Cricetulus griseus: one gene and its partners. The protein of the gene in region 2 interacts with the protein of the main gene of each other region in a pairwise test. Links are inferred from orthologs where the notes say so. Each region holds a gene or a part of one and is shown on either strand. Other genes may lie near its edges.

Region 1 (4,753 bases), on a different chromosome or scaffold from region 2:
GGGGCTGGGGATGGAAGGGGCAGCTGTTATCTCCAGGGTCATGTTCACTGTGAGAAAAGTGGAATTCTCAGGGGAGCCCTATCATTGTAGTAAAGGCTCAGGAGCTCCAGCAGGGTGCCTGTGTTTCTGGAATGTTGGTCCTTGTTCTTGGTCTTCACCCATAGTACAGCCACCTAAGTGCCCAGCAGGCTGGTGGCCAGCAGGAGGGGAGCTGCCAGGAGGAGGGAGTGCCCTCTCCCTTGTTCCCAACAGAGAGCCAGCATTGGCACTGGCTTGCCTGAGTGAATCCACCCACCCATGCCCTCTCTGGCTCTCATCTTGCTTTATCCTTCAGAATCCCCAGGTAATAACCGGACAGGATTAATTAGCTGGCAGCTCTCCCACCCCTGGGTCTAGGGCAGGGAAGGACTAGGGATGATGGAGACCATAGTGGAGAAAATTGCTAAGCTGATGTAAAGAGGCAGGGGCATGTGGTTCTATTGGGAAGTAGAGGGTGGGATAGGATTGGCACAACCAGGTCTCCAGCAAGGGAGGGCATGGGTCAGGCCACTCATAAAGGTCAGAGAGGGGATTAGGAGGCTCCATGACTAATCCAAAGACTTAACCAAGTCCTGGCTCTGAATCCTCCCGACCTGTGCAGCCCAGGGACACAAATGAGGACAAGACCTGGAAGTCACATCAGCCCCATTATGGGCCTATGATTTACAAATATGCCAGAGTCCCCATCACAGACAGGACCCTCACTGCTTTTCCTGCAAAACAGAAAGGATTCTGGGAGGGGGAGGCGATTAAGAAGGGCAGGACTTTGAGGACTGAAAAGCTGGGTGGAAGGAGGACCTAACCACAGAGACCTGGAGTGCTGCCAAGAGAGTCAGTGCACATTCTGGAGGCAGAGGCAGACAGATCTCTGTGAGTTCGAGACCAGCCTGGTCTACAAGAGCGAGTGCCTGTGACAGGCTCCAAAGCCAAGAGAAGCCCTGTCTCGAAAAACCAAAAAAAAAAAAAAAAAAAAAAAAAAAAAAAAAAAAAAAAAGATTCTGAGGGAAGAGGATGTCTTGGGCAAATATCTGGGGAAGGCGGGATTTTAGGAGGAGGAAGCTAAGACGAGCGTTTAGGAGAGAGGAAGAGCCTGAAAGAGAGAAAGCACCAGGAGGGTAGATCCAGGGTATTTGTGGTCCCCAATACATTTGGAAGGGATAATGCCTTTATTTTACCATCCTTTGACTGAGGAGACTGAGGTGTGGAGGAAAGTCACGTGAGGTGGTACGGAAAGAGTTCAGAGACAGCCACTGCCTGAGACAGAAGTACCCTGAGGAAGAAGGCAAAGACAGGACTGTGCGGCTCCCAGTTGCTTGGCAACCGCCGCGGTCAAAAGCTAGCGTGGAGGGCCAGGAGGTGTGGTCCCAGGAAACACCTCAAGGTTGAGACTCCGCCCTTGACAACAAGACTAATCAAATACCACCCCCTAACAACGAATTTCTGAAAAGGTTAGGCCGTCTTAGTCTGGCTCGTGCGCAGGCGCAATCCTCCCTGCTCCACGAATCCCCACCTCCTGCTCCCTCCTTTTTGAGTTTTCTTATTGGAGGATAAAGCTGCCAGGGATTTTCCTTTGTTTCGGGGGCGGGACCAAGCCCCTGGACGCACTTCGATTGGTCACTCTAACAGTCTATCGCTAGCTGTACGTGCCTGCAACCGCTTCTTGTGTGTCTATTGGTCCTGGAAATGATCCTGTGGTTTCGGGGGCGGAGCAGTCTGGGAGACCCGCAGCCGATTGGGTGGTGTCAAAGCGAGGGGCGGGCCCCAGCGGCCGGGCGGTTGGGCCGTGAAGGGAGAGTCTTTTCGGCGCTGAGGACTGGCGCTGAGGAGGCGGCGGTGGCTCCTGGGGCGTTTGAGCGGGCTCACTCGAGCCCGCGGGCCGACGCGGACTCAGGCCCAGCCGGCGGAACCGCCCCGGACTCCCCGCGGGCTTTTCTAGCCGCCATGGAGGACGGTGTCTACGGTAGGCCAGGCGAGGCGGGAGGGCGGAGTGGCTCCCAAGCCCCGCCAAGGACAGCCGAGCGGTGGTAGCGAGGCGCTCTTGTGCGCGCGGAACGGGCTTCCGGCGCGACCGAGAGCCGGGGGTCCCGGCCATTGTTTGGGCCGAGCCCTCTTCCGGCGGCGGCGGGCGGGGCGGGGCGGGGGGGCGGGGCGGAGCGACAAGAGCGGGGCGGGGCGGGGCGGGACGTACACCCGCGCGAGCCGCTGCCTTTCTTGCTGCGAACCTTGGTTCTGTGACCTCCCTACCGATCCTGACCCCGGTCGTGATGCCATGGCTTGTCTTCACTGAGCACCCAAGATTCAGACCACAGATCCAGGAGCCAGAACCTCGGTTCCTTTCCAAGAAAGGCACCCAGGATTCAGGACCCCAACTCTCCCACTATTGTGGAGCCAGGGATCAGGCCTCCTTACAAGAAATGTATCCAAGCTCCATGCCAGGGTCCCCACCGTGGTGGACCCAGGAACCAGAGTATTGGTGTTTTTCCAAGAAATGCACCCAAGGTCCAGGATCCCAGGTCATCAGCCATGATGGAGGGACCTGTTACCTTCCAAGAAATACACCCAGGATCTGGGGCCCCAGATCCCTTGCGATGATGGAGCCATGAGCCCAAGGCCCTGTGTCCTTCCAAGTAATGTTTTCAATATCCAAGCCTCCCGTTCTACTGTGATGGAACCAAGGAACCAGGGCATCCAAGTAAAACATCTAAAGTAACATCCCAAGAGTTCCTCATTGTGGTGATGGGTCCAGGAGCCCAGGGACTGGTTCCTTTCCAAGTAATACACCCAAGATTTAGGTCCACACTTTCATGATGAAGGCAGGGCTCCATCTTTCCAAGTAATGGGCCCAGAAGTTCATCCCCAGACCTATTAAGAGATGAGATTCCCAGGCACTTCTGCCCCAGACTAAGGGTTCAGAGTCTTACTCCCTCTTCCCTAAGAGTTGTAGTAGCCATTTCTCTTCTGGACAGGAATCCAGGCTCTTAGCCTTAATCTTGGCCCCCCCAGAACTCATTTCCTGACCCTGACTCCTAGAGCCCCCAGACTTGACTCCGGAGGAGCGCATGGAGCTAGAGAACATCCGACGGCGTAAGCAGGAGCTGCTGGTGGAGATCCAGCGCCTGCGAGAGGAGCTGAGTGAAGCTATGAGTGAGGTGGAGGGTCTGGAGGCCAATGAGGGCAGGTGAGGACTGTGGCGAGCTCGTGGGACACAGGGCTTGGCCAGGGCCCTGGATGCTCAAGTGTTGACCTTTGGCTGCTGCCCATCCTGCTTTTGCAGTAAGACCTTGCAGCGGAACCGGAAGATGGCAATGGGCAGGAAGAAGTTCAACATGGACCCCAAGAAGGTTAGTTAGCTGAGCAGATATATTCAGGCATGGTTTTGATATCCTAGGTTCTAGAAGTGTTAAGATAATAGGTTTCCTCTAGGCAAGACTCCTGATCCCTGTCCATCTGTTCCATGAATGTTCATGTACTGAGGCCTCTGGGAGCCCGGTCCTGTGCTGGGCAATGCTGGGAATGCTAAGACCCTGCCTTACTCTGAGGGATCCCCCTAGGTGTAAGTGCTACAGTTCAAGGTGAGATATGGCAGTAAGGGAGGGGTGCTGTGTTTACAGCTTGATGGGTAGGTATCTGCTTCTTTTTTTATACAGTGTATCATGTATTCAATTATTCTTCAAACCTGTTCCAGCTATACATGCCGGAATCAGTTAGGCAGAGGTTGAGAGGATGGGCTAGGGATGACCATGCTCTGTTAGGGTGGAGAGGCTTGGATGGGGAGCAGCAGCCTCTGCCTTGGCATAAATCTGGCATCCTCCATCCAGGGGATCCAATTCTTGGTAGAACACGAACTTCTGCAGAACACACCTGAGGAAATTGCCCGCTTCCTGTACAAGGGTGAGGGGCTGAACAAGACAGCCATTGGGGATTACCTCGGGGAAAGGTGAGCTGCCCAGCCTGTACAGTAGTACTCCCAGCCTCAATAGGAGTTCATGGGTAGAGCAGGTTTGTGGCCTCCACCTGGGTCATGATATAGTGGACTGACTGGCTCTGAGGGAGCTTGAAACTAGAGGGAGATGGACCTGTAGTCATCCAGTAAACAAGGACACTGTTGAAGTCTGAGTGTCACTGGCTTAACCACGCATATACAAGCTAGCATATGGAAAGTATTGTCTGGAAGTTTTTATCATGGGTCAGAGCTGCAAGTGTTTGGAGACCTGTGGACATGTGATTGCATAGCAACTGGGAACTAGCTATGAATTCTTAGACAAAGGTCAGTTCTGAGATAAAGGCATCTGGGAAGCGTGAGAGCAGTTGCAAGATGACATCAGGTGGTCTGTGTACTCAAAGATCTGACAAGCTACAAGAACAAGGTTCATCTGCAGGAGGGTGGCATAGTAAATGAGATGATACTGCTATGGCTCCTGTCACTCCTCCTGATGGGACTCTCTCTCTTCCCTCCTCCAGGGAAGAGCTAAACCTATCTGTGCTCCATGCTTTTGTGGATTTGCATGAGTTCACCGACCTTAATCTGGTGCAGGCCCTGCGGTGAGAATGGGACAGAAATGTACCTGCCAGGACTTTCTCAGTTGTGAGGAACATACCATTCCAACAGAGATGCAACAGTCAGGAAATGACTGTCTCTAATAAACAAGTTCAGATGGGGCCTCCTTCAGGCTTTCTCTTGGTGTATTCAGTGGATCTTCCTACATGACAGCAA
Region 2 (4,575 bases):
AAGCATGTGAGAAATATTCAGAGATAAAGATAGAAAAAGATATGTAAATTTGGCTGAGAATAAGAAATTCCCAATCAGGAGGCTTTAGAGTCCCTGAGGTCATACAAGAAGGATAAGGAATTTCTTTCCCAAGGGTATTTAATGCCTGTGGTTTAGGTGGTTAATGCCCTGCATATTAGGAAGACCACAAAGTTAGTCTGTTGTGAACATTTAACAGCTTGAGATGGAAACAATTATTCTCGGGGTTTATTTAAATACTCAATATTGTTTAGAAATCAAGAGAGAAAAGAGATGTTGTTTCTTCTCTTACAAAAATGTGTAGGTAAAGTATTTCATGATTTTCTAAAACTTCATCAAGCACTGTGCCCTCAATAACCCAAGTAGTAGCGAGAGTTGCTTGTGGGAGGAAACAGGAAGCCCTACAGATAAATGCCCTGTTACCTTTTTCCAGGTTCAGCTCGATGTATATCGATTCTAATTAGCACATTTTGTGCCTCAGCTCGTAGCTCCCCTTGAGCTCTGCTTGGAGAGTCTTTCTTTCTTTCTTTTTTTTTAGAATCCACCCTGCTCATAAACACTGCCGCCCCCTCCCTCCTTCTCCTTTACAAATGTTACAACACAATCAGAAATTGCCTCTTTTCTTTCCTTCCTGCATTTCCAGCAGGTTCCCTTGCGTCAGAAGCCGAGGAAGAAAACTCAAGGTAATTAGATCCCTTTTGTTCCTTTATCCCTTTCTTGTGCCTGTGAGTGTGATTTCTTTTCTTCCTTTCTCCTTGATGCCTTCTTGAAGAGGGGATCGGATTCTTGTCTGTCTGAATTTAATATCAGGAGATGGATGTCAGATTAATTTTGGGGGATTGCTTTTGGACTGATTTTAAGAAAGAATGACATGCTGTTCACTTGGACTAGTCCCTCTGCTTTGTCCACAGAGCATGGAGAAGCTGCCGCTGAGTTAGGAAGTCCCTGGGGTCCTAGGTGGGCTTTAACCCTTCGGTGTCTGTTGCATAACTGCCGCTGTTCCTGTGGGCAGGATCCGTGTGTCTGCTTCAATGTGTCTGCTAGTCCCGAGAGTTGAACGTGTTCAACTTACTCTTTGACTAAGGTTTTCAGATCTATGCTTGCATATAAGTCTCACTGCCTCTTTGCCTGGGTTTTCTAGGCACCGAATGAATGTTTAAAAATAGAACAGATACATAGAATTCCTTTCTTTCTTTCTTTCTTTCTTTCTTTCTTTCTTTCTTTCTTTCTTTCTTTCTTTCTTTCTTTCTCCCTTCCTCCCTCCCCCTCTCTCTCCCTTCCTCTCTCTCTCCCTTCCTCTCTCTCTCTCTCTCTCTCTCTCTCTCTCTCTCTCTCTCTCCCCTTTCTTCCTTTTTCTTTTCCTTTTAACAGTTACTTTGCATGACTGAAAACATCCAACCTTTGCTGTGCAAACAACTAAAAGTTGCCTTTTATTTTGCCACCCGAGTTGGGTCACACTTAACCTGTTCGTATAACCATTGCAGGTTTTTTCAGCATGAGTCGGAGGAGGATATCATGTAAAGATCTGGGCCACGCTGACTGCCAGGGTTGGCTGTACAAGAAAAAGGAAAAGGGAACTTTCCTAAGCAACAAATGGAAAAAGTTCTGGGTGGTGCTGAAGGGGTCATCGCTGTACTGGTACAGCAATCAAATGGTGAGTGGTCCCTCCTCCTCCTGCCCCAGCCTTTACCCAAGAGTGGCTTCTAGAGCTCAGAGCAGGCAATCTCTGTGGGGAAGTTGATCCTGATCTCTGGGAGTTGGAGCAGAGCAAATCAGCAGATTTGATAGAGGACTCATTTCTGCTCCAGGAACTATGTAGGTTAGTGAGCTGTGCTGCTCCGAGGAGAGACCATCTGGCTTTACTATTCTGATTAGAGAGGAAGGAAAAGGGGCTCCAATTACATCCTTGCTTAAGGAGGGAGCTGCTGGGGTTCTACTGATGTTATTGTTCCGTGAGATCCTCATAGTACCACGATCTGTCAGGATATCATTTGCTGTGCGAATTTTACCTTGCTAAGATCCTATTAAAAAGGGACTCAGCATTACTCTCTTCTAAGGGAACAAATCTATCAGTTCAGAGACACAATATCCATCTCTTCTCCCACCGTCTTCTTTCCTCCTGATCTTTGCAGGTATGGGCTGGTTTGGGATTGCTAATCCCTATGCCAGTCTTGCGTAGAGACTGGTGACATTGTTCCACGTTGACATTAGATATGCATTGTGAGGACAATTCTCACTCACGGAGATAGTTGCTGAGTTTGTCCTTTGATAGCCATGTGGTACTGTGGTCAGCTTCATGGATTGACTATTGAAAAAGAGCTGGAAATAAAGTTCTTGCATTGTCTTTGTGGCTGGAGATATTTTGAGAGGGACATTGGTGTTGTTGAAAGTACTCTGTAGAGCTTTGTAGGTAGATGTTCTGTCACTGACTCCACTGCAGGTTTAGGGTCCCTTTTCGAGGGAAGGAAATCTGATAGAGAAGGTTTGTTTAATTACTTAAGGGAATAGTGCTAAATTAAGCCAACCTGGGACTAGGTAGTCTTTCAAACAAACACAGCTTCCTTCTTAAGGGGAATTAAGGTTGATATAAGTACTTAGTGTTTTCTGTTATTTTATTTTAAATTACTGAATTATACTTATTCATTCAGTGTGTGTGTGAGTGTGTGTGTGTGTGTGTGTGTGTGTGTGTGTGTGTGTGTGTGTGTGTACAGGTATCACCAGTTATGGGTGGAAGTCCGAGGACAACTTACAAGAGGGATTTGTCTCTTTTTTTTCCCCATCGTGTGGGTCCCTGGGTTCTAACTCAAGTTGTCACCTATGGCAACAAGTGCTTTCACCTCCTGAGTCATCTCTCCAGACTCTGTTTCCTAGTATTTAGGCTATGGCATTTTAGTAGTTATCACAAGAAATTGCCACCTACATCTTTCTTATGATGAGCTGATCTGAGTTACCCTATAAACAGCCTTGAGGACTTTCTTGAGCCTCTGGGATAGACTGTGTTGTTGGAACATGATGTATCTACAGGATGTAACAGGCTCAGGATTAAGTGGTCAGTTCATCTCATCATTGTCCCTGTCTTGGTAGAATGTGAAAGAAGTCCTTCCTGGAGTCACACAATTGCCACCACTTGGCTCATTTGGCTTCTCCAGCTACTTTTAGGCATAGGAGCTTCCTAATTTTTGGCATCGGGAATCTCACTCTTCTGCATGGAGCAGCCACGTTGGCTTGGACTAAAAAGAGGAAAAGATGGAGTCTTAGATGCCTGTAAGCTCCCCATCCCTGTGTCCTTTTATCAGATGCGGAAAGTAAGCTTAAGGATGCGGATCATGTATTTCAGCACCATTACATTAACAGCATCAGTTTGAGAATAAACTTAGTTGGCCAGGGAAGTAGAGGGTTATTAATGGTGTACCAAAGGAAGGATCTTTCATAGAGGACTTCTCATGTTCTTTTGCTTTCTCTTTCCCAGCCTCATTCCTGACATCTTAATTGTATATTTGTTGTGGGTAGACCTCAATGAAGATGTAATTAGCAGTCATATTCCTGCTATCTGTGTTAATACCAACTGCAAAGTAACAGTCAAACACGCCCTCACAGAAAAATATGCACTTACTGTCTCCACTAGAAGGATTTAGATTTAATTAGCTAAGGCACGTAAGAGTTGACTAATTTCTTCTCCTTCTCCATTCCTTATTCTTCTTGGAGGGCCATCCCTGTTCTCTGTGATTTTGGGTATAGCATGGGCTAGACTTAGCCCATGGAACATCTGCCATATGCCAAGGAATGTTCTAGGTACTCTGCACACAGGCTCTTTCCTATTCTTCAAGAAAAACCTCTAGCTGGTTATGTTGGCATAGGCTTATAGTCTTAGCCACTCAAGAGGCTGAGGCAGGGTGATTGCAGGTTCAAAGCCAACCTGGGCTATAGAATAAGTTCAACCACAGTCCTGTTAATTTAGCGAATCACTGTCTCAAAATGAAAAAAGGAATATAAAAAGTCTGAGGATATAGCTGGCTGGTAGCATGCTTGCCTAGCATGCATGATGTTCAGGGTTCAATCTATGGAAGGAGACAGAGACAGAGACAGAGACAGAGACAGAGACAGAGAGCCTGAGACCTCTGAGGCATGCTTTAAAAGTTGGTAAACTGCTGAAGTCATACATGAAGGAAGTGAACAAAAAGTTCTTCATGTCCAGGCCCCTTTGAGTCCTAAGTTCATACTGATTATGACATGCCACCTTGAATCTCCCTGGGGACCAGATAAATGATGTCATCGTGATACCCTGTTTCTGGAAGGAGACTGAGAGACCATCTCTAGAAGTGACAATTTCTGCTGTGAATGTACAAGCTATCCTATTAGACTGTGGCTCATCCCTGTTGCTGTCAATATTGCCTAAGGACTTTGCCATCCTCTCCTATTTGCTTGTCTGTTGTTGGTACCCAGCAATCAGTGAATGGCTCACCTCCTTTGTGCTCACATTGCTTCTCCCAACACCACTACTCAGGCTTCCTTAGGAAAGATCATCCGCTATTTTCTCACATAGCATTTCATTGGCTT
Region 3 (4,605 bases), on a different chromosome or scaffold from region 2:
CCTGATCCTCAACTGGTCCTTAGCAATTGATTCTCCTACTGAAACCTACAGATTCGTTTAGCATTTGCTGAGCATCTGCCATAGGCGCAGCCTGTGCTTGGAACTGGGACTTAAATAGCTCCAGACCCAGCCTTGCCAGTGGGGAGAGGCGGGCAAGGCTGTGGCAGCAGCAACCTGGCGCGGTGTCTGTGCATGCCAGGGACATGCCGAGATGCTGCGGAAGGGCCAGCTGGACCCAGGACTTAATGATCAGCCATTCCAAAACAGAGACGCTGTGGGGATGGCGAATCCCGAGTGATATACGAAAGCTCAAGGATGGTGGGCACACTACGAGTCAGGGCCAGAGAGCCCAGGAGGAGCCTTAGCGCCTGCTGTGGAAGGCCAGGGATACACATTGAGGAGTCTCAATTCCATCCTAAAGAGAGGGTTCAGTGGAAAACCAAGGGGGACTACACATAAGCAGATGAGCTCAAATAGCTAATCTACCAGACGCAACCCTGCAGCAGTTAAGGAAACAGGCCCAGTTGATGATATTGGTGACTCTTCATTAGGCAAATAACACACGATGCTGGAGAAGAGCCGGTTATTTCCATGCAGAGAAGAAAGGAGAGGGGATCCAGCAGTCAGAGCACTGGCTGCTCTTCCAGAGGACCCAGGTCTGACCCCCAGCACCCACAGTGGCTCAGTCTTTTATATCTCCAGTTCCAGGGGATCCTATGCCCTCTTCTGACTCTAGGACATCAGGTACACATGTGCTACACACATGCAGGCAAAACGTTCATGCACATAAGTAAGTAAAAAATAAATAAATCCATGTAATCTTTTTAAAAGAAGGATGTGAAGGCTGCACAGCTGGTGTGCACAGCGGAAGGGCCTGCCTTCGGAGCGTCTGGCCAGAGCCCTCACCACTGAGCAGGCAGGCACTCAGGACAGCAAGTCTGGGGGAGATAGCTCCTTGAGAAGCGCCCTCTCTCCTCCTTGGGGACCTTAGGGACTTGCCACAGGAAACCCCACGTGTTCTCTTCCCTTTTACACCCACCTAAATGCCGTCCTGTTTCTGTGGCTACAGCTCGGGAATCTACTTTAGCAGTGGTTAAAAGGGCAACACTCTTCCCTTTTGTACCAAATAGGAGACTTCAGGAGGGGTGGGAGACGGGGCACTGGCTTTTCAGGGTTGTTCACTATAATTAGAGCTGATCCAATCCCTCAAGCTCTGCCCTAGGCCTGCCCCAGGCCCATCACCCCAGCCTGGATTTAGGCCTGTACCCACACTCAGGGCATCTGAAGACACTTTAAAGCCTACAGGGCAATGGGGAACCCAAACACATATGAGTCCTCTGGCTAAAGTCACTATTCCACACTTGCTAGCCCAGTGTGGAGCTGGGGGCAGCTACTGACAGCCAGAAGCCTTGAAGATGTGACATGGATCACTGCTGACCTCCTTAGGCAGTCTCACTCTGATTATTCTACCATTTTATTCTGTGCCCTCCTCTTCTCTCAGAACTCTTTCCCTTGGAGCTGGATACCAGGGCTAATGTGTATTCATCACTCCAAAAAATACCAAAAAAAAAAAAAAAAAAAAACAACAACAACAACAACAACAAAAAAACCGCTCCCAGTGGGCAGCATACCCTGGCCTGGCCTCGGCCCCAATTACCACGCCCCTCTTTGGAAGCAAAGGTACTGCAATAAAGATAGCATGTCCCTCTCACTCAGAAGTTGTACCCACAATAGAGTTTTCCACACAGGCAGCCTCATGGAAACTGCCGGGGGAGAGCTCTCTTTAGAGGTGAGACTTCAAGTGTGTGTTCAGTACGCCAGGAGAGGGAAGTGAAAGACACAGTCAGTTTCCCTGGAATCGTTCTTGAAGCGGCCTCATCTCCAAGTCTGGTTTACTGTAATACCCACACTAGCTGCGGCTGGTCACACTTGCCCTCTTTTGCCTCAGGGCTGAAGCACTGTAGTTGAGCCAAGGAGGGTACAGCAGGGAGACTGCCCAGAGTCTCAGCTCCTGACTCACAGCTCCGCTGTTTACAGCTGGATTGGGGGACAGTGAGGGAAGCACCATGAGACTTCAAACCGTCTTCACCCCACAGAGAAAGAGGAAGCCTCTCCTTCCTTTAGGAAAAGCAAGAACCATTGATGCCGATTTTAATGGCATAACCCAGTGATGTCTTTACTTCTCAGCCCAGCTTCACTGTGGCACACAGTTCCCACATCTGTGGCCCAACTGCTCCTAGGAGCCAGTAAATGGCCAGCAAGCAGGAGACTAAGTGCCTCCCAGAACATTACTGTCTTGCACAAAGCAAAGGCGGTAGAAGCCGGGATGACTCTTGCCACATCATTTAGAATCTCGTATTTATTCACTCTGTCTGCCTCTCTCCCCTGACTGAGACACACACACACACACACACACACACACACACACACACACACACACACACACACACCCCTTAGTCTTACTCAGCACACTGCAGATCTTCTGAAAGGAACAGGGTAAAAACCAAACTCTGACCAAACCCAGCTACAAAGGTCCCGTAAAGCCTTCCTTACAGGGGCTCATAGATGAGTCCAAAGAGACCCTCAGACAACCACCTACCTACCTGGGACCCTCTGGGGCTGTCTGGGCTGGGACTCACCATCCTCCCTGGGTCTAGTCTGGGCTGGGACTCACCATCCTCCCTGGGTCTAGTCTGGGCTGGGACCCACCATCCTCCCTGGGTCTAGTCTGGGCTGGGACTCACCATCCTCCCTGGGTCTAGTCTGGGCTGAGACTCACCGTCCTCCCCTTCTCCTTTAAGAACCATTGTTGGGCTTCTCAGGGCAGGACAGGTGGGCTCTGCTGCTAACTCACTCAGCAAAGTATTCTGAGCAGTTTCCTGGACTGTGGGTTGGGTGAGGCTAGGAACTCCTACAGGGAGCCACTAGAACAGCTCAGGGCTGCTTTTGGACTACCAGAGGAACAGCTAGTGGCACAGGGGACCAATTAGCCTGCACCCTCTGCAGACGTCACTGCAGTCTCTGTCACCACCCAGTTCTGAAGTAAAGCTCAAGCTCCTTCAGCATGTTAAACAGCACTGAGTCATCACACCAGCTCAGCAGAGGGCCCACCCCACCCTCACTCACCCAAGCAAGGACACAGCAGCTGCTACTCTCTGCTTCACCAGGAATCACCCCAAACCCGTCATCTCCCAGTGAGAAAGTAGCTCACTGACATCCATAAGACAGCCACAAAAGATGGCAATCACCACAGCATGCTATCATGTCCCAGCTAAAAGCAGGGGCATGGCCCAGGGTTGGGAAAATCAAGGGCCACACTCCTCAAAGTGTAAGGTCATTCCAACCCCACTCTGATTTCTGCAATTGCACGTTTACGGGATTCAGACGGATCATTCCATACACACAATGTTTGGCATCTCTTTGTCCTTAAATGTCATCTCTTGTATTGAGGACTTCCCACTCATATTATGAATGTGGGGCTGGCAAGATGGCCCGATGGGTAAAGAACTTGACACATCACACAGCCTGAAGATCAAGGTGGACCCCAAAATGCATATAAAGGTGGGAGGGGACAACCAACTCCCACAAGTAGTCTTCTGACCTCCACATTCTCACGATGCATGCATAGTCCCCCACCCCAGCACAATAAATAAATGCAAATCATAGTAATGCTATATCAGGAAGCTGGGTGTGGTGGCGCACACCTTTAGTCCTAGCATTAAGGAGGCAGAAGCAGGCAGATACCTGAGTTAGAGGCCAGCCTTCTACAGAGCAAGTTCCAGGACAGTTAGGGCTACACAGAGAAACCCTGTCTCAAAAACCAAAGTAAGCCGGGCATTGGTGGTGCTGGTTTAATCCCAGCACTCGGGAGGCAGAGGTAGGCAGATCTCTGTGAGTTCAAGGCCAGCCTGGTCTACAGAGCGAGTGCCAGGACAGCCAGGGCAGTTACACATTGAAACCCTATCTTAAGAAACTTAACAAAGGGGGAGGGGCATATTTCTATCTCCTGCTTTGTTTTCCTGTTATTTTTCCATCTGTCTGTTTCAGACAGCCTCATTTGGCCCCAATAAGTTGGGGCCTCAAACTCCCTACCTAGCTGACAGTGACCTCAACTTTGACCTGCCTGCTCTGCCTCCCAAGTGCTAAGGAGCAGGCATGCACCGCCATGCCCGGACGCTTGGCTTCTTTTTTTAATTAGACTGTTTCTCCTACTTGGTTCCTATTCTACACAGTTTACAAATATTTTTTTCTCAAAAGCTTTTAGTTTGATAAAATCTCACTGGTCTGCTTTTGCCTTTGTTTGGGGAACTTATCCACAGTCTCATTGTCTGTAACGACCATCTGGAGTTGGATTTTACGATGGTGGGCAGGGTCAGGGTTCATTCTTCTGTGCGTGGATAACCAGTTTTGCTGGCACTGGTGTCTGTGCCTCTGTTGAACATCAGTTGGCTGCAGATATTCGACTTCTGGGTCCCCACTTCTGCTTCACCATCTGTGTGACAATATCCTGCTGTTTGGGCCGCTCTGCTTTACAGTGTGTTTGAAATCAGGTGCTAGGATGCCCCCGGCTGTGTTTGTTTTGCTCAGGGTTACAACAGTCCTTAG

The links. The genes of interacting proteins can lie anywhere in the genome.
Region 1: the proteins of Ipcef1 (region 2) and Cyth2 interact in binary tests that used the Homo sapiens proteins (3 or more experiments, as listed by UniProt). The link is inferred for Cricetulus griseus from reciprocal best matches to the Homo sapiens genes IPCEF1 and CYTH2.
Region 3: the proteins of Ipcef1 (region 2) and Cyth1 interact in binary tests that used the Homo sapiens proteins (3 or more experiments, as listed by UniProt). The link is inferred for Cricetulus griseus from reciprocal best matches to the Homo sapiens genes IPCEF1 and CYTH1.

Annotation. Positions count from the first base shown.
Region 1 is NC_048599.1:154,707,966-154,712,718, reverse strand, and holds the start of Cyth2 (cytohesin-2), read left to right. Parts: upstream 1-1,789; 5' UTR 1,790-1,980; coding exon 1,981-1,999; intron 2,000-2,218; exon of another isoform or gene 2,219-3,069; coding exon 3,070-3,217; intron 3,218-3,313; coding exon 3,314-3,380; intron 3,381-3,857; coding exon 3,858-3,976; intron 3,977-4,500; coding exon 4,501-4,581; intron 4,582-4,753. UniProt on the Homo sapiens protein: Acts as a guanine-nucleotide exchange factor (GEF). Promotes guanine-nucleotide exchange on ARF1, ARF3 and ARF6. Activates ARF factors through replacement of GDP with GTP.
Region 2 is NC_048595.1:284,097,702-284,102,276, reverse strand, and holds the start of Ipcef1 (interactor protein for cytohesin exchange factors 1), read left to right. Parts: upstream 1-1,513; coding exon 1,514-1,672; intron 1,673-4,575. UniProt on the Homo sapiens protein: Enhances the promotion of guanine-nucleotide exchange by PSCD2 on ARF6 in a concentration-dependent manner.
Region 3 is NC_048600.1:130,772,913-130,777,517, forward strand, and holds the start of Cyth1 (cytohesin-1), read right to left. Parts: upstream 2,965-4,605; 5' UTR 2,808-2,964; coding exon 2,780-2,807; intron 1-2,779. UniProt on the Homo sapiens protein: Promotes guanine-nucleotide exchange on ARF1, ARF5 and ARF6. Promotes the activation of ARF factors through replacement of GDP with GTP.